Regions from separate parts of the Mus musculus genome. Here regions 2 and 3 are each reported to be linked to region 1. Evidence: microRNA targets listed by miRTarBase, many of them from high-throughput screens and not tested one by one. Region 1 holds a microRNA gene; each other region holds the end of a gene's coding sequence.

Region 1 (7,193 bases):
GTCCAGCTGTCCAGCCATATGGGCCCCAAACAGCCCAGTCAATCCGATTTGGGGAGGTTTTACAATGTAATTTCTTAACGTGTTAGTACTTGGGGTGAGTTTGATCAGGCGCATAGACAGCCCTTAAGCCCAAGGGTTTAGGTTTTAAGAAGCCATTACAAATGGCCCAGCATCCGTCCGCTCAGACTGGTTAAAAACAGATATGAAATCTGTGGCTGGGGGAGGGGCAAGGACTCCTGACCCCCTGGTTGGAGAAAGTCCCAGGGGTATGCTCTAACTATTAATTCAGCATCAGCTGCCGTATCTACCCCCCACTCCCTTTCTCTTTTTCTTTTTTAACCCTGGGCTCATCATTTAAGGCGTTCCCACTCGGGCCTGCGGAGCCTGTTACAAAACCAGGTCTCCGCTCCCCCACTCCACCCCCACCCCGGCGCGCGCGCCCCACGCAGCAAGACGAGAGAGCCAGCGTCCCGCAATGCCGCAACGGCGCAGGAGAATTGCATTAAAAACGTTCTTAAGCTAAACAAAACCCTAGGCCTATCTGACAGTCTAGCACAGGAAAGTATCCTCCATGTCCCATTGCTCTTCAGTCAAAACCGACTAGACCTCAAGTCACAGCCCCACCCTTTCCTGGTGCAGGGGTTCGAAACTGTCTGCCGAGGAATGCTTTATAGACAGAACATTAGAATAGTCCTAAAGCTAAAAACCTTGATCAAAATGGTGGTAAGTAAGACCAAGTCACCGCAGAGAGAGACCAGCGATTTAGTGGGGACTATTATGAAAGTGGTCAGTGCTCCCAGAAAGATTGCCTAGCGAGGGGCCTTTGCCAACTAGTTACATTTTTTTAATTAAAATCCGTCACAAGGATGTTTTCTAGTTCTTACCCACCCCTCCTAAGATTCTCAATTCTAGAAATTTACAAAAACAGCTTATTTCCTAAGCTTCTAGCCACACAGTGTTGAAGCAAAAAACAGCACATGGGGGAGGTTTTGTTACAGCCGTTCTTCTGTTGGGGTCCTTACCTAACAATTGACAGAAACAGAAATGGCCTTCCATCCAGGGGGCATCCCCGGAGGTCCATCAGGGCTAGGTGGGCGCCGCGGCCACCACCCTCTGCACTGGCCATTGACAGCCACAACATTTAAGACTGCTTTTAGCTTTCCGAGTTTGTTCTCCCCTGTCTAGATGTCTTGAATTCAACATAGCCCAAGAAACAGTTCAGTTTTTTTTGTTTGTTTGTTTATTTGTTTCTTTTAAGTCATCAAAGAAAAGCAGGCGTAGGGAAAGCAGATGGGCCTGCGTGAGCAGGTCGGGGCTGCCTCGCGGCTGCCGCAATAGCCCTTTGGGAAGACAGATTTCTCATCGCAGGCGCGGGGGCTCGAGTGGGGGAAGGTCTTTTTGGTTCGCTCTTATGGGGGACATTCATTCTTGGTCCTTCTTTAAGCCACAGCTAACTCTGCTCTTGGAAAAGAAAAACAGTTACACAGCCACACAAGTACAACAAAAGGCGCCTCCCCGAAGTGGCTCTCCACGTCCGCAGGACGGGTGGCTGGACGTGTAGACGCACTTTTGTGCCTCTGTAATCTCGGACGTCCATCTGGCCCCGGCGGGCGAGGGCGGGCGGGAGGGCGCGGGCAGGGGAGGAGCGCGCGCACGCAACTAGAGGCGCGAGCACGCGCGCCCGCTCTCCTTCACTTTCACCTTGACTGCGGGGGGGGGGGCGTTGGTGGGGGCGACAAGAGACTATGGTCCTCCATCCCCCCACCTTCCGCCATTCGTCTTCCCACCCCCAGCACTGTCCTGCCCAGACGCCAGCCTAGGGAGGGGTGAGGAGGAGGCTGCACTGGCGCTCGGGTCGCCGCACCGCCCCGCAGCCTCGCGCTCTCCGCAGTGACAGCAACCACAACCGCAGCAGCACCCAGCTCCATCCTCACCAGCCTGGCTGAGCTACAGCCCGGCAATTCGGGCTGAGGACGACAAGCAGAAGGTGTGCAAGTGCCCCCGAGCTCCCCACTCCATTGACCGAAGCTCAAGAAACCGGGAGTGGGCTAGCGGCGGTATTGCACGGAGGGGACTGAGAAAAAGAGGACTGGAGACCATGAAGCTATTCAGGCAGGGGTAGGATTGAGCCCCCCGAGTCCACCCAGAGGACTTTGGCAGGGTCTGGGGCGGCCAGGGTGGCTTCAAGGGATCGGAGGGCTCTGACCACTGCAGATGCGGCGCGTGTGGGTGCGGTGAAAGCACCCACTTCTCCCAGGATCTAAACGGATAAACGGAAGCGAGTGTAAGTGTGGGGGTGCGAATCGCCACCTCCGGCCTTGGCTTTCCCGTTCGTGAGAGCACCCCCACTTCTCACTTTCCCCAAATCCGCATTTTTCTTGGCACAACCCTCCCGAACACCGAGCGAGGAGAGGGAGGTGCCCGGGGGCAGTGAGAGTGACGTGTGCTGGTGCAGAGGGGGGGGGGGGGGGCTGCGGGCCGGGCTCTGTGGACCTACTCCTAATCCTCTTGTTTTCGGAACTGTCAGCAGATGTGGCTTCTCTTAGCTGAATAATCCGTTAAAGGAATAATAATTTTTAAAAAGGACCTCGGCCTCACCCAACGAGGACAGTGAAGGAGATCAGCTCTTGGTAAGACTAAAAGAAAAGGCACTAAATTCTCTGCGTCCCTCTCTCTGTCTTCCTCTCAATCCCCTCACCCCCTCCCCCTCTCTTCTCTCCTCACCCCCCCCCCTTTCTCCCCCATCCCCTGCAATCCGCACTCGACGCGAGTTCACGCGCAGGGCTGGATTTCCAAGCTGCACTGCAACTTCTCAGCGCGTTATTATTATTCATCTGAGGGTGCAGCCTCTGCAACCTTCGCCTCCTGCGCTAGCATCCTTCCCCCTCGACCGCGGCCACCAGCAGAGCGGTTTCTTCTGCACGCGTGCTCTGGTTCACCAGAGGAGGATTCTGGCTTTTTGCTTTTTTGTTTTGGTGGTTTGGTTCGGTTTGGGGTTTTTTTTTTTTTTTTTTTTTTTTTTTTTTTGGTTTTGTGTCTTAATTCTTTCAGGGTCATCGCCAGGATGCTTTTCCTCCGGCCAGGTGGAGCCAGCATCAGCGCCTGCCAGCAGCAATTCCCTTCAATAGCCGAGGAAGCACTTGGGGCTTGGCCAGGGAGGCCGCTCCTTGCTTGCGGGGCTGACTTTAGCCTCCACTACTCTCCCGCATCCATCTGCGTGTATATTATCCCCATCCCTTTTTATTCCAATAGATCCGCCTTTGGTTTGGACTGGCTGAAACGCGGCGGACTGCAACCAGGATCCTTTAAAGGAGAACAAAAAGATGAGGATATTGTGCGGGGGTTCCGGGACAAAGCGTCTTGGGACGCGCGGAACTCTGGCTCCCCGATTGGAGAGATCAACGCTGCCCAACAGTACCCGGCCGGACCTGCGGACCTCTGAGGTTATTCGGACTCAATTTTATTGATTTTTGTGGCATGCTTTAAAAGGGTCAGTGTTAGGTAAAGACTGTGTCCCCCAACCCTGTGGGGTGGGTGGGAAGCTGAACGGAACCGATCCAGTTAGATTTAACTTGTCCTCTATGCCCTCTACCTGGCTTTTTTGAGCCATTGGGAAGGAGAATGGGGAAGGCTTAGAAAAGAGAAAGGGGGGGGGGGGACGACTGCCTGAAAGGATAAGGCACTAGTAGGGAGTGGGATGGACCAGGTGAGGGAGGTCTGTGGGTTAGGAAGCACCTTCCTCACTCTGGTGCACTGGGTGGGTTTGTTCAGGGAATGGCAACGTGGGTGTCTGTTGAAAGCAGTCTTGTGAAATTGACATGTACATGCATAAGGTGACTGGACTTGTGTGTAAACAGAGTGATGGAGAGCAGAGAGGGAGGGGTCTTAAAATAATATTTTATTGTCCCTATGGATTTGGGGATCTCTCCCCCACCCCACCCAGCTACATTCTATAGGGGTGACCTTTTAAAATCTACACCCACCCTTTACCTCTGTAAAACCGGTTGACGGGTGGGGTGGGGGAACATGTAGGGGTGCGCGCTCTCTCTCTCTCTCTTTTCCCCCTCCCCCCTCCCAGTCTCCCTCCTCCCTCTGTCTCCCCCTCCCTCTCCCTTCACTCCTCCCTCTCTCGCTCTCCCTTCGCTCCCCCTCCTTCTCTGTCCCTCCCTGCTGCATTTTGCATGAGCTATCTAGGTCATTAGCATTTTAGCGTATGCAAGACTTGACAAGGCTGATGAGGGGCCAGATGGGCCTCGCTCTTATTTATTTATTTTTTTTTTCTTTTCCTTTTTCCCATCCACCACTTGGGACCTAAGCGAGAGGACCGCAGCAGGAGAGTTCCGGAAGGCTGATTCCCACAGATCCTGGTAAGGGACCGCAGCAGCTCTGCCCTGCGGCACGCCCGGCCAGGCTACACCCGGACCCTACACTCAAGGTAAAGGCGGCGGTCACAAGCCCTGCCCAGGCAGCAGTAGCTGGGCCCCTGCTTCCCATCCCTTTCCTCTCCGTCATCTCCCTCCTCCTGGCCCCCCTCAGTTTCCTAGGCGAAGCTGAGAGCGAACTGGGTGGGTAGGATTCGCTGCGGTGGGGCGAGGTGGGGTTGATGTTTTTTCATTGTCTGGAACTGCAGGGGAGGCGAAGCGCGAGGAGAGGAGTGAGGGAGTCGGGGTAATTAACACGGGGGAGGCACCCCTCCGTCTCCCACTTCCACCCACATCCCGAACCCTCCACCCCCCTCCCCTTTGCAGGAAAAAGCTTGGAAACGAAAGGATGCGGGAGAACAAAGAGCCTACGGAGGACGTGGCTGTTATCTCATTGTCTGTGACTGGGGGAGCTGCGGTAGGAAGGATGCGGTGGTCCTTAGCTCATCGCGTTCCCCAACCCCACACCCTCCCTGCTGTCAGTGCGCACGCACACGCACGCGTCGCCAGCTTTTTCTTTCTCATCTCTCATTTTTTTCATCTCATCTTCTCCCCATCCCCTCCCTTTCTTTCCACCTTTCCTTCCTTTCTTCCTCCCTTCCTTTCTCCCATCCTCCCTCTCTTCCATCCTTCCTTCCTTTCCATCCTTCCTTCTTTCTTTCCTTCCTTCCTTCTTTCTTTCCTTCCTTCCTTCTTCCTTCCTCAGGAGAAAGGCCTCTCTCTCCGTGTTCACAGCGGACCTTGATTTAAATGTCCATACAATTAAGGCACGCGGTGAATGCCAAGAATGGGGCTGTCTGAGCACCTTGGGTCCACGAGGGCCTGCCACGGAAGGATCGACCCAGCACAACGCCCTGGGCAGATCTCAGCGCTGCAGCTGCAGGCGCCCACAGTACGGGTAGCAGGCTTCTGAGTGCCTCGCAAAGTAGCCCTTAGGGTGGGGAGGTGTGCAGCTACCGACAGAGAGGGGTTTGTGCAGATGCAAATAGAATCTAGGAAGCAAACAACTCATTCTGTGACAGAAACACGGATCTATGCAAGCGGGGGGGTGGTGGTGGTGGTGGCGGCGGCGGCGGCGGCGGCAGAAAATAGCCTGGGGACGGCTGGAGAGTAAAATGTGCCCCTCAGCTCTGGGACCCTGCCCATTGTAGAAGGCCGACACCTTCATCCCTACCTGTCTTAGTTCCGGATTTCAATTTATTACCCTTAAACAAATAATAATAACCAAGTACCCATGCGACTGGCAGACTGCCCCAAAGCCTAGACTGCAGCTACCTTGTATTGTGCTTGGGGTTGCTGGGGTAGTCTTTAGGGGAAGCTGTTTGTCACCCGTTGGTGGAGAGCTGTGGGCATTTGACAAGCTTAAACAGATCTCTGGAGTGAGCGAAGGCGATCGGCAAATTTGTTCATGGACAGCGCACAGACTCCATCAAAACTGACAGCTAGCCCACTGCTCTAAAGCAGGGCCTCCCAGCCTCCTTGGGGCTGTGGCTGAAGTTTCAGGCAGAAATCCAGAAGCTACAGGAAAAGGAGGCGCAGCCCACCCCCAGCCCCCAGAGTGTGGGCCTCTCCCCATCGCTCTTAAAACCCCAAGACAGAAGGAAAATCAGCATGAGTAAGGTGGAGGCCTAAGGAAAGTCTGTTTTGAAGCAGGCTGTCCAGGAACAGAAAGGGTTAATCCTCCCTCATCCTGAAGCACCTGCTTCCCAAATCAGCCCCCAACAGCAGCAGCTGGTCCTGGAGGCCCCCGACACAGTTCCATCCCGTCTCCATCTCAGTGTTCCGCCAACCTGCAGTGGATGGATGATGGCCTGGTGGCCGACCTAAACTCATTAATTTTCAGGTGGAGTAAATGGAGGAGGGGCAGGACCCAGCAGCAGAGGGAGGGAAAGGAGGCCAAGAGCTGGCCTCCTCCCCCCCCCCACAACCCACCCCCAGGAAGCAGGCTGTAGCCCTCCCCCCTGCTGTCATGCCAGAGGCCTGCCTTTGCAAGGCCAAGCCCATGAAGGATGTTTAGGAGTTTAATCTGATTCCTAACACAGTAATCAGGGTCTAAAAGAGCATCCGTTGAAGTTAATGGAGGACTCTTGTCTCAAAAAGCCTCAGCCTCATCTAGTCTAGTAAATTAGTATTTGAGGGTATATCATAGATCAGTACCTCTCTGGCCTAGTTTCCTCAAGAGTATTCATTATTTCTTGAGTATCTACTATGTGTCCTTCTTTACGATGATTTCAACTTCTAAATTTCCTCACAGAAGAGAATGTTAGAGCTAGCCAGGCTGAGCTTCAATTTACCACATTCCACCTAGGCATTCCCAGAACCTTCTCCCGCTCTGCAGAAATAAGCCACCGCCTGCTTACTCTTGCAGGCAGAAAGCTGCAGTGCCCACACCCTGAGGGTGTCTCTGGCTGAGTCCTACCGGACAAGCCAGACTGCTTTCAAGGCAGAAAGGGAAAGACCCAGCCACAATGGCTGTCCTAAGAGACGCCATAGCCATTGCTTCGAGAAAATCTACCTCCCTTGAAATAAAAATTGGCCCTTTCCTGGGGTGCTCCCTCACTTCACAAATGGGTTAGAAGAGAACGGCTAGTGTGCTGTACCATTTTGGGGGTACACCCATTTGCCCCCCCCCCCCCGTGCTCATTGAGATGTTATTTTGCCTTCAAGCAATGGCCTAAGCAGATGATGGCCCAACCCCCCTGGACCACAAATATCCCCATTAGCAATCCTCTACTCAGTAATTGCTTCCCCATGATTCTTTCAAATGTCCCC
Region 2 (7,193 bases), not on the chromosome of region 1:
AGCTTGGTTCTGTTAGTGTTAGTGGCCATTCTCCCTCCAGTCAGAGGGGATCTTTTCTGAAGCATGAAAATCAGACTTTCCTGAGAATTTCATCTGTGCTTTCTAACATCCAGAGGATGCCCCCAACTCCTGTGTGAACAGCTGTTCCTCAGCTTCTGGGTCCACTTATTTCGTTTTGTGGTGCTGGGATAGAACTCGGGGTCCCACGTGTGTTAGGCATGTGTTCTGCCACTAAGCCACTCCCCACTCACCCTGCCTACTTGTGAGGCCTGAGCACAGGCAGGCCGTGCAGAAGGCAGCTCCACCTGCCTCCAGCAGCCCCCTCTGCTGGTGCTCTGTAGTAAAGGCACCCGGCAGTTAAGGCTGGCAATTGCTCTGGTGGTCCACTTCCTCGGGCAGGGTTGCTCCTTGGCCTCCTTCCCTCTAAAGACCACTTTGAAGTCTTCATACTGGGCTGCCCATTTCTCTTTAGCTGGGCCCCACTGACCCTCTGCCTCTGCCCACAGGCGTGGGGACCTGCCATTTGTCGTGACTCGCCGAATTGTTCGGAAAGGCACTGGCGACTGCTCAGACGAGGAGGTCGACGGTAAAGCAGATGGGGCCGATGCCAAGGCAGCTGAATAGGAGCTTCTCCTGCAGCCCAGGCGGATGGACAAACGGCTCTGCCTCCCTCCCCCAACCCTCCACACCCCTGCCTTGAGACTGCTCTGACCATGTCCCCCTCCTCCCAAGGCCTTCCCGAGGGCATTGGCTTCCTCTGCTGCAGCCCTTCCAGTCCTCCATACCCTTTGAGAATCTGATACCAAAGAGTCCAGGCTGGCTCAGGCCGGATGACCCACAGGGTCTTGTCCTCCTTGCCTGAAAGCACGGGTGGTGGGCAAGAAGGGCGGCCATTGGAGTAGGCACAAGAGTTTTCTATGAATCTATTTTGTCTTCAGATAAAGATTTTGATAGCTCAGGCCTCTAGTAGTGTTACCCTCCCCGACCTCGGCTGTCCCCGTCCCCCGTCCCCCCTGCTGTTGGCAATCACACACGGTAACCTCATACCTGCCCTATGGCCCCCTTCCCTGGGCCCTATTGGTCCAGAAGGAGCCTCTGTGCTGGGTGCAGAACATGGGGCACTCTGGGAATCCCCCCACTCCCTTCTGGGCAGCACTGGTGCCTCTGCTCCTCCGACTGTAAACCGTCTCAAGTGCAATGCCCCTCCCCTCCCTTGCCAAGGACAGACCGTCCTGGCACCGGGGCAAACCAGACAGGGCATCAGGGCCACTCTAGAAAGGCCAACAGCCTTCCGGTGGCTTCTCCCAGCACTCTAGGGGACCAAATATATTTAATGGTTAAGGGACTTGCAGGGCCTGGCAGCCAGAATATCCAAGGGCTGGAGCCCACTGTGCGCTCTGGTGCCTCTCCTAGGACTGGGGCCAAGGGTGGTCGAGCTGTGCCACCCACTCTATAGCTTCAAGTCTGCCTTCCACAAGGATGCTTTTGAAAGAAAAAAAAAGGTTTTATTTTTCCCTTCTTGTAGTAAGTGCTCTAGTTCTGGGTGTCTTCACTGCCTTGCCCTGGAACTGTGTTTAGAAGAGAGTAGCTTGCCCTACAATGTCTACACTGGTCGCTGAGTTCCCTGCGCACTGCACCTCACTGTTTGTAAATGCTGTGATTAGGTTCCCTTATGGCAGGAAGGCTTTTTTTTTCTTTTTTTTTTTCTTTTCTTTTTTTTTTTTTTAAAGGAAAACCAGTCAAATCATGAAGCCACATACGCTAGAGAAGCTGAATCCAGGTCCCAAAGGCGCTGTCATAAAGGAGCAAGTGGGACCCGCACCCCTTTTTTTATATAATACAAGTGCCTTAGCATGTGTCGCAGCTGTCACCACTACAGTAAGCTGGTTTACAGATGTTTCCACTGAGCGTCACAATAAAGAGTACCATGTCCTACTCTTTGGTGTCTGGGTGTTTGGCTACAGCGGGAGAAGGCCGGGAAGGGCTGGGCCAGCGGTCACAGGAGAGCACACTTGACTCTGCTTAGTTAGCAGTTTGAGAGGGGGTGTTCCAAGACATCCTGGGCAGCAGCAGGGACCTCCTCCCTCCCTGCAGGCCAAGAGGCTGGACAGCAATGGGCCCAGGGCTGGTTCAGGAATTCTCCTCTCCTTCCACATGCTGGGCTCGCCTTTCTCCTCTAGGAGGAAGGAGGCTCTGGAGGAGATGCTGCGGTTCCAGAGGCAGAAAGTGGGAGGAGTGGGTGGTGAGCAGAAGCTGGGGAGGCGCGCAGTGTGCACCGCAAACACTCAGCATCAGCGGTGGCAGATGAAGCATGTGCACACGTGCACGCACGCGCGCGCGCTCTCCCCCCCCCCCCCCATACACACAAAAGAGGATCCAGAATGTGTCAAACCAACACAGTGACAGAAGCCTGGGAGACAGACTCCCGTTAGACTAGTCAGTTCTCATGGCCGCGCCCCCAGAGCAAGCAGCCTGCAGCCTGCTAGATTTACACAGCTCATCTTCCTGTTTTCATCTGTTACCTGCTCATCCTCAGTGTGCCTCTGTGTCTTTCTCCTTTTTTAAAATTTTCTTTTATTTTATGTATATGAGTAAAATTATAGCTGTCTTCAGACACATCAGAAGAGGGCATCAGATCTCATTACAGATGGCGGTGAGCCGCCATGTGGTTGCTGGGAATTGAACTCAGGACCTCTGGAAGAGCAGCCAGTGCTCTTACCCACTAAGCCATTCCTCCAGCCCCGTCTTTTGCCTTTTATTATTTGTATTTATTCGCAGCACCGGGCTTGGAATCTCTGCCCTGTGTTTCTTAGAAAGATCAGGTCTCCAGCCCTCAACTGTAATTGACTGCAGTGTTGATTTCTGGTCAAGTCTTGTGATGAACATTTTGGGTTATCAACTAGCCTGGCTGGGCGAGCAGCTCTGTGTGGAACCCTAGCCTGGCTGCAGCAGCATCTGACAGAGTTAGGGTACTTTTTTTGGTCTTTATTTTTATTGTATGAATTGCCACGGACTGGGCTCAGTCGGCCCCCCTCAATCCTTGGGAATCAGGGGTTCGGACAGATGGGCATAGAGTCGGCAAGAATTGACAGACAGATGCGGACTCAAGGGAGAGTGCTGAATCTGAATGTATTGTCACAAAGCGAACACCAGTCTTAGGGGTAGGATGTCACAGCAGGCACAGTACATTGAAGTTACCTGACACAAAATAGAGGAATGACTTCAAAAGGACTTACAGGAACCAGGTAATGTTTACAGCCCTGCCTAGGGTCAGCTAATGACAGGAAAGGATTTCACACCCTAGTCACGGTTTGTGCTACTCCTCTGAGCCTTGTGAAAGCTAGCACCAGGGGCTTCTGCTCAAGCAGACCTTATGAATAATGCAATACCACAACCCCCCTATTTCCTAGGCCTTGGTAAATTCTTGCATATGAGTGTAACTTGGCTGTTCTTTTAAGTTATCTGTAGGGAATCTCCATTTGTCAGAAGAATTCACCAACTTACCAACTTACTTCCAATATGCAATATATTCTGCCATACCTGACTGTAATGAAGATTCTAGGTATACTTTGCTAAGCTTGCCCTGAGATTTCTAACTCTTATCCAGTAAAATACTGTAAGAAAGCATGCAAGACCCTCCACAATATTGCAGGGACAAATTTGTGGCATCCTAGCTATGGGAATGCCAAGGTTCCTTGAAACTCTGCCTCAGGAATGCTTCCAGGTTTCTAAACCTGTAATTCGAGTCACTACTGGAGTAGATGTAGCAATGAATCTTTTGCCTGCATGTCTCTGTGGATCTCAGAAGAGGGCATCAGATTCCCTGAAACTGGAGTTAAAAGGCAGCTATGAGCCACCACTTGGGTGCTGAGAATTGATCCCGAGTCTTGCAAGAGCGGCCAGTGCCGCTCTGATTCATCGCTCTGGCCCTCTGAGAGTCCAATCTTATAACCACTGCAGACCTGCTGCCTCAGAGAATCTGGACACAGGATGCCATCAGTCCTCCAGAGGATTCAGGTGCATGCCAGGCTCCCAGAGCCTGGTGCGGGACCTGCAGGGGTGTCCAGTCAGGAGGATGGAGATGGCAATCTTTGCTCTAACCTCATGGATGCTTCATTCCCCTCCTGAATAAAACGAGTGGCAAACCCTACTTTCTAGACCAGCCTCTATTGGTTCTGCCTTTCCTAGGGTTACTGTAGCTTACCACATGCCAGATAGCCTACAACAGAGAGCTACTCTCAAGTTCAAAGCTGAGGTGTTTTCTCCGAGAGAATCTGGTGGGTCCATGTATCCCATGGCTTGGACCAGCACCACCCCAGTATCTGCTTTGTCTTCATGTGGCCTGCTTCCCCCATCTTTAAAATATTTTTAAGGATAAAGATGTTTTATGGGCTGGAGAGATAGATGGCTCAGAGGTTAAGAGAACTGACTGCTCTTCAAGAGGTCCTGAGTTCAATTCCCAGCAACCACATGGTGGCTCACAATCATCTGTAATGGGATTTGGTGCCCTCTTCTGGCCTGCAGGCATACATTCAGGTAGAAGGCTGTATACATAATAGAAGGACACTTGGCATTGGATTTAAGGCCCACACAAGTAATCCCAGATTCTTGGTTTACGGGCTCTGCCAACACCGTACTGTGGCCTCCATTCTGGTTATAGCAGCTAGGTGCTATGAATTTCAAGGCCATGCTGTGCCATGACAGTGACATCAGCCAGCCTTCTTCAGTGACTAAGGAGTGTGTTGCAGAGCTGTCTAGTGGGGTGGCTCCCCAGCCCCTCTTCCCTCCTATTTGAGAGTCTGCCGAACTTGAGCCTGGATCCTCTCTCCAGCACCCCTCTCATCCTCAGCGCTAGACAGTCTGGAGGCAAACTCCAGCCTCTTGGGTTGCTAACTTGCCTGTCTGAAATCAGAATCCCAGAGCTGCTGTGTTCACCCAGCCGGTGTGTCTGATGCTCCTGACCATTATATGTGCATCAAGCCGAGGGCAGTGCTACTTGTGTGTCATTGCAAAAGTCCAATAATTGTGATTTAGATCCTGTCATTTTTACATTCATTCTAAATCCCGAAGCTGACACATCACATTTGGAGACATGACATCCCATCTGAGCAAAGACAGGACAGTTCTCTGAATGAGGCTGGTGGCCAGGCTGTGGTGGCTGGGAGCAGTGGTCGCCCTTCTCACTCCCAGGCTGTCATGCAGTGCTATCAATGAGGGAGATGTTTTTTTTTTCTCCCGTGTTTTGCAGTCCTGACAGGTTAGTCTGGGGTGACCATTTAAGTACATTAGAAGCCCCGTGCCCAGTGCTCAGTTGGCAGGTCCCTGTCCCCTTCTGCATTCTCCGAGAGGAGGGTGCCTGTCTTGGGACAGCCAGTGTAGCATCCAGACAAGCATTTAAAACGTAGCTTGTCTGCACCAGTGAGTGCTGGGATGGGAGTGATCATGGTGGCCCGATGCTTTGGCTGCTGATCCCTCCACCATCCACTAGATGGTGCTGTACCCTGCCTGACTTGCTCCCCAGTTTCAGGGTTGTTTCCTTTGCGTTAGGATCCCCGTGGCCGTCGTTGCCAAAGATTAGGCTGAGATGTCAAGCAGGACATCCTGGGACACTTGCTTCGGATGCCACCAGTCAAGCTGAGCTATTGAGTAGCAGATTTTCAGATGCTGAGGAGTTTCTAGGGTTCAAGATCTCTATGCCCTAACCTGCCAAGTGAGTCCTATCCAGGGGGTTCCATCCAAGACTGTTGGAGAGACCATGTTCTGGTCTATTCCATGCTCTGATTAGAAGGTCTCCGTTACTGCTCTCTGGCTCATAGGGGAATTTACCTGGTTCTGCACCTTGAAGTACTTTTGTTTGGCTGTTGAGTTAATATTAATATCAATCCTGGTATTGGTACCAGGTAAGGGGTGTGTGTGTGTGAAAACTTGATGGAAGGGAAATTATAGAAAAAAAATGATCCCAAAATTACCAGAAGCAAAAAGGGGGATTATGAGTGCCACATGTCAGAATGTTTATCTTAGTTTGAATCTTGGCTCTGCCTCCCTGGTTGTCTGACAGGGACTAAATCTGGCTCCTAAAGATGTGGACAGCCCAAAAGCTCTCATCCAATTGTCCTTTTGGGCATCACTCTGTTTCAGGGCCTATGGGGGGCGAGGAAACTGAGGGCCCAGTCAGTAGTGGGGTGATTTGCCAAGGGCAGACTAGTCAGCTGGATCACAGGCTCACATCTCCCCTGACTCCTGTTATCAGTATGTGAGGGATGAAGGCAGAAAGCAGGAGCTGTCCTGGGTGTCTGGATAGGCAAGGACACAAGGTGTGGGGACTAAGAGGGGCACATTGCCAAACACCATCCCCAGAGCAATACCAGCTCTGCAATCCTAAGATCACTGAGTAGACCATTGGGTGTGAGAGAGAGAGACTCTGAGTGTGCAGAAACGCACAGGCTAATTCCGTAGAAATTCTAGTCTCCCCATATAGCCAGGTCTGGCTCTAAACCTATCATCTTTTCATCTAAGCTTCTTCCTGAGTGCTGAGATTCTAGGTTTGTGCCACCAATGTGGCCTTTTAAGGTCCCACTTAGTGCTTCAGTCTCAGAGTAAATGGGCCAGCATGGGTCTCCACTCTGCCCACCAGGAACCTGTGTTTTCAACCGATGGATACATCACCTGTGCTGTTGACCCCCCCAAGGCCACTGCCCACCTGTGGGGTGGGGTTAGAGTCTCTACAGTGGGAGCCAGGTGCCACAGCCACTGTGGGAAGATGAAGGGGCAGAAAGAACAGGAGTGTCCCATTGTGGAGTGGGAAAGTCTCACTACAGGGTCAGCCACAGCAAAGACACGGAGGTGTCATGGTCACTGAGGCAGGATAGACTTGAAGGTGTATGTATGATAGAAGCAGGGGCTGGTTGGGAGGGGGGAGACTGCAGTGGGCTTGAGGCCTGGAGTGCTGACTAAAGGGGATTCAACTTGACCCTGAGAGATCATCAAGGACCCCTTAGAAGGAGCAAGGTGTCTTCCCTCCCTCCCTCCCTCCCTCCCTCCCTCCCTCCCTCCCTGCTCTGAGGATGCCCTGAAACCATCAGAAGGGATGGGGTTGGAGGGTTGCTTTGCGCAACTCTGCTCGGGTTCCAGCTGGGAAGAAGAGGGCTCCTATCAGGGCTGCACAGCCAGCCAGGAGCAGGGCAGGGCAGGGC
Region 3 (7,193 bases), not on the chromosome of region 1:
TAAGATTCAATGATGAGAGTCAAACATTTGCTTAGTAAGTGTTATGCTTCTGTTTCTTTAGTCACTCTGTACAGAAATAATCTGCTCTGGTTCCCAGGAATGCTTTTCAGGCGATAGAATTTAACTTAAGCTTTTGGTATAGACACATTTAAAAAAAAAAAAAAAAGCCTCATTTTCTTGCACCAAAAGAAAATTTTCTAGGCAATGTGTATTCTTTAAAAGCTCATACAGCTCAGAGAAAGGTGCCATTTTTAGTTCCTGCTTCTGTTATGAGTTTATTTTGCCTTGTATTCAGCAGTTTGCCCAGCCGTTAAAAAAAAAAAAAAAAAAAAAAAAGACAAAAGGTAAAATGATAGAGCAGTTAGAAAAATATGCCTCACTTTACAAAGGAAAACATGTTTATCCTGAACCAAGAGAATTCAGAACAGATTCTGTTCAACAGAAAGACTGATGTACCCTGTAGCACTCTCTAATGTCATTTGATAACCCTGCCATTCACACAGCCAAGCAGCACCGGTGGCATGATGGGGAGGTGGGATGCCGTGCTGCGCAGGAGCTAGCAAGCACAACCCTCCATACCATAGTCCACACGGAGCCTGGGAGGGAGCCCACTGCTGTGGATGGTGCTCTAGGGCACTGTGACAAAGCTCTCTGGGTTTATATCAGCCCCCAGCTCCTATCCATCATGGAAGGGATTCAGGGCAGGAACCCAAAGACTTTGAATCTGAAACTGCTGAGCACCCCGGCTTGCTGCCTCATGGGCTCATGCTCCACTGGCTTTCTTACACAGCCCTGGACTGCCTCTCAGGGAGTGGTGCTGTCTACAGAGGATAGGTCCTCCTCCAGTCAGTTAACTGTCAGGACACGCCCACAGACCAGTCTCATCTGGCTGGGCCCTCCCTCATCTGCACCTCCCTCCTCAAGTGATTCTAGACGTGTGAAGTTGACAGTTGAAGGTGACAGGGACAGCAGGCAGAACAAAGCCCTTGCCATGGCCTAACTCAGCCCCTCATGAGTCTGTGCTTTCTCCGCAGATGAACTCCGGGATAGTGACAGCGTCTGTGACAGTGGTGTGGAGACATCCTTCCGCAAACTCAGCTTTACAGAGTCTCTTACTGGAGACAGCCCACTGCTATCTCTGAACAAAATGCCCCACGGTTATGGGCAGGAAGGACCTATTGAAGGCAAAATTTAGCCTGCTGGCCGTTCCCCCACACTGTGTAAACCAAAGCCCTGACAGTCCATTGCATCGTCCCAAAGGAGGAAGGCAAAGCGAATCCAAAGGTGCTGGAGAATCGCCGGCCTGCAGGGTCACTCGATTTCATTCAAGGCCTTCCGAATTTGGCGTCCTTTCTTGGTTCTGAAATGAAATGTAGTTGCCACGCACAGACGGTGTCTAGCAATCATGGCGCTCGCTCGCTCAGCTGCACTCTATGGCTCAGGTGCAGTGTCTTGAGCTTTCTCTGCTGCTACTGGATCACATTTGCTTTGTGTTGTTACTGCTGTCCCTCCGCTGGGTTCCTGCTGTCATTAAAAGGTGTCGCTGTCCCCACCCGGTGTCCTTTCTAGCCATCTACTGTAAGTTGTGCATTCAAATTAAGATTAAGGAAAAACATATTTTTAAATGAGTACCTTGATGCGCAATAAAAAAAAGACATTTCTTTTTTTAATGTGGTTTATCTGTGATTTAAAAATAAAAAACACATGAACTTACAATATTTAAAACATGCTACAATCAGTGCTGAAAATAGTATTTTCCCCGTTTTATGCATTTTACTATTGTAAATATGTTTTCTAAATCAAATACTTTAAAAGAAGAAATGTTGAATTTATAAATGCTATTTACTTTTTTATTTTACTTTTATAATAAAAGTACAAGCACATTGTTGACCTAATCTTGTCTGATCTCTGCAAATGCTTTCTCAGAGGAGTCCCTGTGACTGTGGGAACAGCCCCACAGCCCGTTTGTCACATCCACATTCTCCTTTAGACACATTTCTTTGAAGCTAGAAATGTTCAAACTGTGGAAATAAAAGTGTTCTAACCCAAGACTGAGGTTCCGACCCAGGCAACATCATCTGGACGCCTAGCATCAACATTCCAATCTCTACACCGTTCCTCTCCAGCGCATGCTGTCTGTGTCTATGAAGGATAACAGACCCCAGCTTCAGCACTTCATCTTCTGGATACGATGTGGCCGTTGCGTTCATAGCTAACTACACAAAACCTGTACAAGATGTGGTCCTTCATCATGTATAGAGAGGGACTGATGAAATACACACACACACACACACACACACACAGACACCACAGCAACTGGCTGTTAATAGTTGCTAGGGGAATGGGAGTCCTTTCTTCAAATGGTATAGCACATACTCCAGTAACTATTCCCTCCCCATGTTCATGCAGGCAGCCCTAATTAAACTTACTCATACACACAAGCACAGAAGCAGGAAAGTAGGAGGCGGAAACGAGAAGGCAGCGGGGTTTGTGGATATGATCTCAGTACATCCTATACATGTTTAAGATCATGAGAAAATATACATTTTAATTAAAAACTAAATTCCAACATATGTAAAAGATTTTCCAGTATGGAGTTTAGTAAGTCTGCATGGCTGAAAGTAGAAAGAGGGAAGATTAATGGCTTGAAAGAGGTCTTAGTTTGGACTCTGGTGTGTGACCAAGGTCATTTAGTGTGTAGTGTAAAGATCAAATCCAAAACCTTCTGGTGAAGTGGCTTGGCAGTTAAGAGCACTGATCTTCCAGAGGACCAGTCAGTAGGTTTAATTCCTAGAACCCCTCACAGCTCACAACCACCTGTAACTTCGGTCCCAGGGAATATGATGCCCTCTTCAGGCTTCTGTGGGCACCAGGCATATAAATGGTGCACAGATATACATGCAGGCAAAACATCCATACACACAGAAAGAAAAAACCAAAAACCTAAGGCCTTGTCATGCCACACAAGTGATCTACTACTGATCCCACGGAAGGGCCTGGAAACCCACCAGCTATTACCTTTGGGAACTGCCTTCACTACAAAGAGCTCTCACCCCCATTTCCATGGTAGTCATATGAATGCCTTTCCCATTGCTGGGACCTTCAGATCCTGGGAGACAGGCTAAAGTGATCTGGGCTATCTCCCTCACACAGCTCAAGGTACCCCAAATAGACATCTTGTATGTCAGTGTCCATATGACAAAATATTCCAAACTTACAATGAAGAAAATGGAGGTCCAGAGAGCGCAACTCAGTTGTGGCTAAGGTGCATCTGCGTTTATATCCAGATACTTAGCGCCTAGGCTTGTGAGTTAGAGAATGATTTTATTGGGACAAAAAAGATGATAATGACTGAATCTATTAGTAGGGATTTGGTATAAGATTAAGTAAAATATCATTAATGAAGAAATGATTAATTATTTAAATATATAATACAAGCTACTTAATAATACTTAAATTATTTAATAAATATTCTAAGTGCCTAATCATCAATTAATCGGAATCCCTTTCTACCAAAAATTCCATATGTATGAAAATTTAAACCATACGAATTTTAGACATACCACCAATCTTAGACAAACACCCTTGACATCGAGAAGGCCCTAATCGAGACTTCATTCTGTGATGTAAAAGCAGAGCAGATTCTACCTCTTAGAATGCATCACAAATGAACAGAAACTGGTTAAACAGCAAATTCTGTTTTCCATTACAGTACCCTCTCTCCACCCTAACACACCCTTATTCTGCGTTGGAAACTTTAAGACAAAACTGTCTTGCTTTGGTGTTTCGTAATACTTCCTGGGACAGCCATGCCACCATGCCCCAGCCAGGACTTTCTATGGCTGTTAGCTGTGCGTCTTAAAACATGGTGCTGAAGCCCTTCCCACAGAGAGACACCATTGTTTCCTGGGTTTAGGCTCCTGAGTCCAGGCCACCTGTGGCAAGGCAGGAACGATGCTGAGTGACTTCCGAAACTAGGTCCGAATTTCTGCCAACCTTCCCGGAACTACCTTCTCCTGGAACTCAGTCACCCTGTTCAGAGGGTGCCAAGCAGCCATGAAGAGAAGGCCAGTACAGGTGTTCAGCCAACAGCCTTAACCGAGGTCCTAGCCAAAGCTTGCCAAGCCGACGGCTGCCAGGTGACCCTGCCTAGCCTTTGGGCTGTCTCAGCAGATGCTGACCATAATAGACATGGGCTGTTCTGCTGTTCTCCTCAAATGACAGATTTGAAAGCAAATTAAATACTAGTGGGGGTTTTAAGCCCTGGGTGTAGAGTGGACACCACCATTCTCCAGGCATTTGAAAAGACAGCTTGCCTACCATAAGTTCAGCAGAAAAGATACTGACTGGAGGGACACCAACCAGGCTGCCCGTACCAATATGTAAAATAGCATTTCTCTTCTTTAATAAACAATCCTGGCTCTCTTTTGTTCCAGAAACTTCCCCTTCTTACCAGGTCTCTACGCTAATCCACATGAAGGCAGCCAGAACTGCCTGCCTCTCAATGGAAGGAGAGTCCACCTTCACGCCAGTAGATGGAGATAAACACCAGAGGCAGTACAGGCGGTTGGTCGGTTGGTCGGGTGGGAAGCTACAATGAGCCTGAAAGAAGCTTGCCCTGAAAGCTTTCCTCACAGCAGGCCGCCACTCAAAAATAGCTTCCTCAGAACTTCAGTCAGCTTTTGAGGTTTCTGTACTCTGCAGGCATAACCCAAACCTTTTCAGGATCTGCAGGCCTTTCTTCTTGGGGGTGTGGGGGGAGGGGGAGGAATCCCTGCTGTTGTTCATTTACCCACCTGGGTCCCCTGGGGCAACTCTCTGCGACACAGCAGACACAGCAGTCACCAGTACAGAGTACAGCCCCCAAAGCCTGTTAAGTCTTGGCTAAGAACGCAGAGGGGCAGAAGCCAGCCAGAATGGGCGTCTTTACACGCCAGCCCCTTTCAGTTTCCAACACAGACAAAGAGCTCAGATTTGACCCATTCCCAGAGTCAAACACAGGTCAGCCCCACTCCAAAGACTGTCTTTGAGGATGCTTTCAAAGTCTTTGATGAACAACCGGCTTGTTTTTTTATACCAGCTCTGTGCAAAGATGGAGTCATAATGTGTCAACCCATATGCAGTGTGGTCCCAGAATACCACTAAAAGGACGTATTGCTTGGTAAAGCTGGGCTTGTGGCACATGTCTGTAATGCCAGTGCTCTGGAGGCTGAGGCAGGGGGATCACCATATGTTTGATGCCAACCTGGACTACATAGGGAGGAGACCCTGTCTCCTAAGTAAACGATGGTGGTGATGATGATGATGACAATGATAACGACAACGATGACAATGATAATGTTGAAGATCCCCTTTCCTTTCCCAAAGCAACAGTGTACAACTTAAGTGACAGTATGACTTGAATGAGAAGCATCATGGCATGGGTGGCTTTGTTCTGCAGTGCGCGCGCGCGCACACACACACACACACACACACACCTCTATCTCCCGACCACATGCAAATGTCCCTTATGCATTTCCAATACATTTCTTTCTGTGATCTGGGAACAACCACCTTACATATTAAACAAGCAAATATCTTTAAAAACAGGAGTGCTTCCACTTAAAAAATACTTCCCAATCGTTATTTCCATAACACTCTGAGGTAAATGGGGGGGGAAGGGTTACACCTCCTGCCATAGTCCACAAGACCGTGTGCTGGTGTCTGGCCCTCCCTGGAGAGAGAGGCTGGACTCTCTGTAGAGAGAGAGACTCAGTCATGAGTCTTTACAGCTCAGGCCTCAGCTTCGGTCTGTAACCTCTCACAGGTGCAAGGCGGCCCTGACGGAACAAATCACACGGATGTGCCAGAAGCAACAGCTTGCCAGTCAGGGGCATTGAAGGACATTACTCACAGCTGGCCAAACAGCTGGAAGACAGCACCCGTGAAACCATTTCCTCTAAGAACGCTAAAACCAGACAGAACCGCCCCCAGACAGGGCAGGAGGGGCCTTGAGAGTACATGCCGGTCTCTCTCTCTCATTCCTTCTCCTTCCAGACCCTTCTCTCTAGCTTTGGAGCTTGCAGGAGTTTCTCAACGCTGCCTGGCTTTAATTTCCTGGGACGCAATCCTTCCCTTAACAAGCACATAGCCCTCAAAAACACACCCATGTGCCCAGCCATGGTGACACACACCTTTAATCCCAGCCCTTGGGAGGCAGAGGTAGGTGGATCTCTGAGTTGGAGGCCAACCTGGTCTGAAGAGTGAGTTCTAGGACAGAGAAACCCTGTCTCAAACAACAACCCCACCCAGGTTCCAGTCCCATTAGTGCACAATCCCTCCTCCCAACATACCCAGAGAGGCCAAAAGGACCAGACAGGACACCTCTAGAGAACCTTACTGCAGCCTCCTAGACAGGCCTTGCCACCCAAGCTAGTAATGACCCATCCGACTCTCTTCCTGGGGCGCCACAGCCCCTGCACCTGTCCTTCAACCACCAAGCCACAGAAATACTACCCTTTCCCCCTGTGTGAGGGCAGTGTGAGCTCACAGCACATTAGTGTGAGCCACCCAGATCTATGCGAAAGCAGCTCTACACGTCTTCCATCCTAGTTTCGACTCCTTGAAGATCAGAGTCACTATTTGGCCCTGCCTTCCCCACCATCCAGCCAAAAGCCTATTGTGAGGGGCTGGGGAAGAGCATTTGCACACAGCGCGTGGGCCAGCCATAGGCACAGGGACTCCTTAAAGCTGCAAAGAGGAGCAGACAGGCGGTTGAATGTCATCCCTCCCCACAGGCAGCAGCTGATGGCCATATCTTTTCTTTGGTTACGGGGGCTTCTTTATATTTGTCATCTAACTTCTCCCCTATCTATTCCAGAGGTTTGTGTCAAGTTTCCAGAGAGTCACAGTAAGTAAATTTCAATTAGACATCACTCAGGGCCAGCAAGGTGACTCAACCTGTAAGGCCGCCCGCTACAGGAACCTGGCAACCTGAGTCAGATCCCCCAGGACCCACAACAGGGTAGAAGGTGCGAACCGGCCCCATAAAGTTTCCTCTGAACTACACACACACACACACACACACACACACACTTTGAAAATCACTTGGCTGCGACCTGTTTGCCAGGGTAGCAGGACAGATAGAAGTGAAGTAAATTAATAGAGCAGGAAGTAGCTCTGGTATTGGACCTTGTGACCCAGTTTCCATTCTG

The links. The annotated mature microRNA mmu-miR-124-3p reads UAAGGCACGCGGUGAAUGCC and lies in region 1 at 5,185-5,204, shown strand. An mRNA with a match to its seed (bases 2 to 7 or 8) in the 3' UTR can be bound and repressed. Matches are read on the target gene's strand: a 7mer-m8 pairs with bases 2 to 8, a 7mer-A1 pairs with bases 2 to 7 and ends in A, and an 8mer does both.
Region 2: the mRNA of Myh9 is a reported target of mmu-miR-124-3p. Seed matches in the 3' UTR shown: 8mer at 1,844-1,851.
Region 3: miRTarBase lists Nfkb1 as a target of mmu-miR-124-3p. The part of its 3' UTR that is shown has no 7-base or 8-base seed match.

The regions. Positions count from the first base shown.
Region 1 is chr14:64,585,525-64,592,717 of GRCm38, forward strand. It overlaps Mir124a-1 (microRNA 124a-1), which reads left to right and starts at 5,133; the gene lies at 5,133-5,217. Mir124a-1hg (Mir124-1 host gene (non-protein coding)) reads left to right here and starts at 2,591. Exons shown (of 4, transcript NR_040709.1): 1 at 2,591-2,630; 2 at 3,253-3,443; 3 at 4,317-4,435; 4 at 4,749-7,193. It overlaps Mir3078 (microRNA 3078), which reads left to right and starts at 5,661; the gene lies at 5,661-5,747.
Region 2 is chr15:77,755,330-77,762,522 of GRCm38, reverse strand. Myh9 (myosin, heavy polypeptide 9, non-muscle) reads left to right here. Exons shown (of 41, transcript NM_022410.3): 41 at 507-1,938. The coding sequence ends at 624. It also overlaps a transcript of Apol8 not described here. Among named protein-coding and RNA genes, the nearest start is that of Apol8, 3.7 kb to the right of the region's middle.
Region 3 is chr3:135,579,357-135,586,549 of GRCm38, reverse strand. Nfkb1 (nuclear factor of kappa light polypeptide gene enhancer in B cells 1, p105) reads left to right here. Exons shown (of 25, transcript NM_008689.2): 25 at 1,035-1,895. The coding sequence ends at 1,195. Among named protein-coding and RNA genes, the nearest start is that of Gm46827, 25 kb to the left of the region's middle.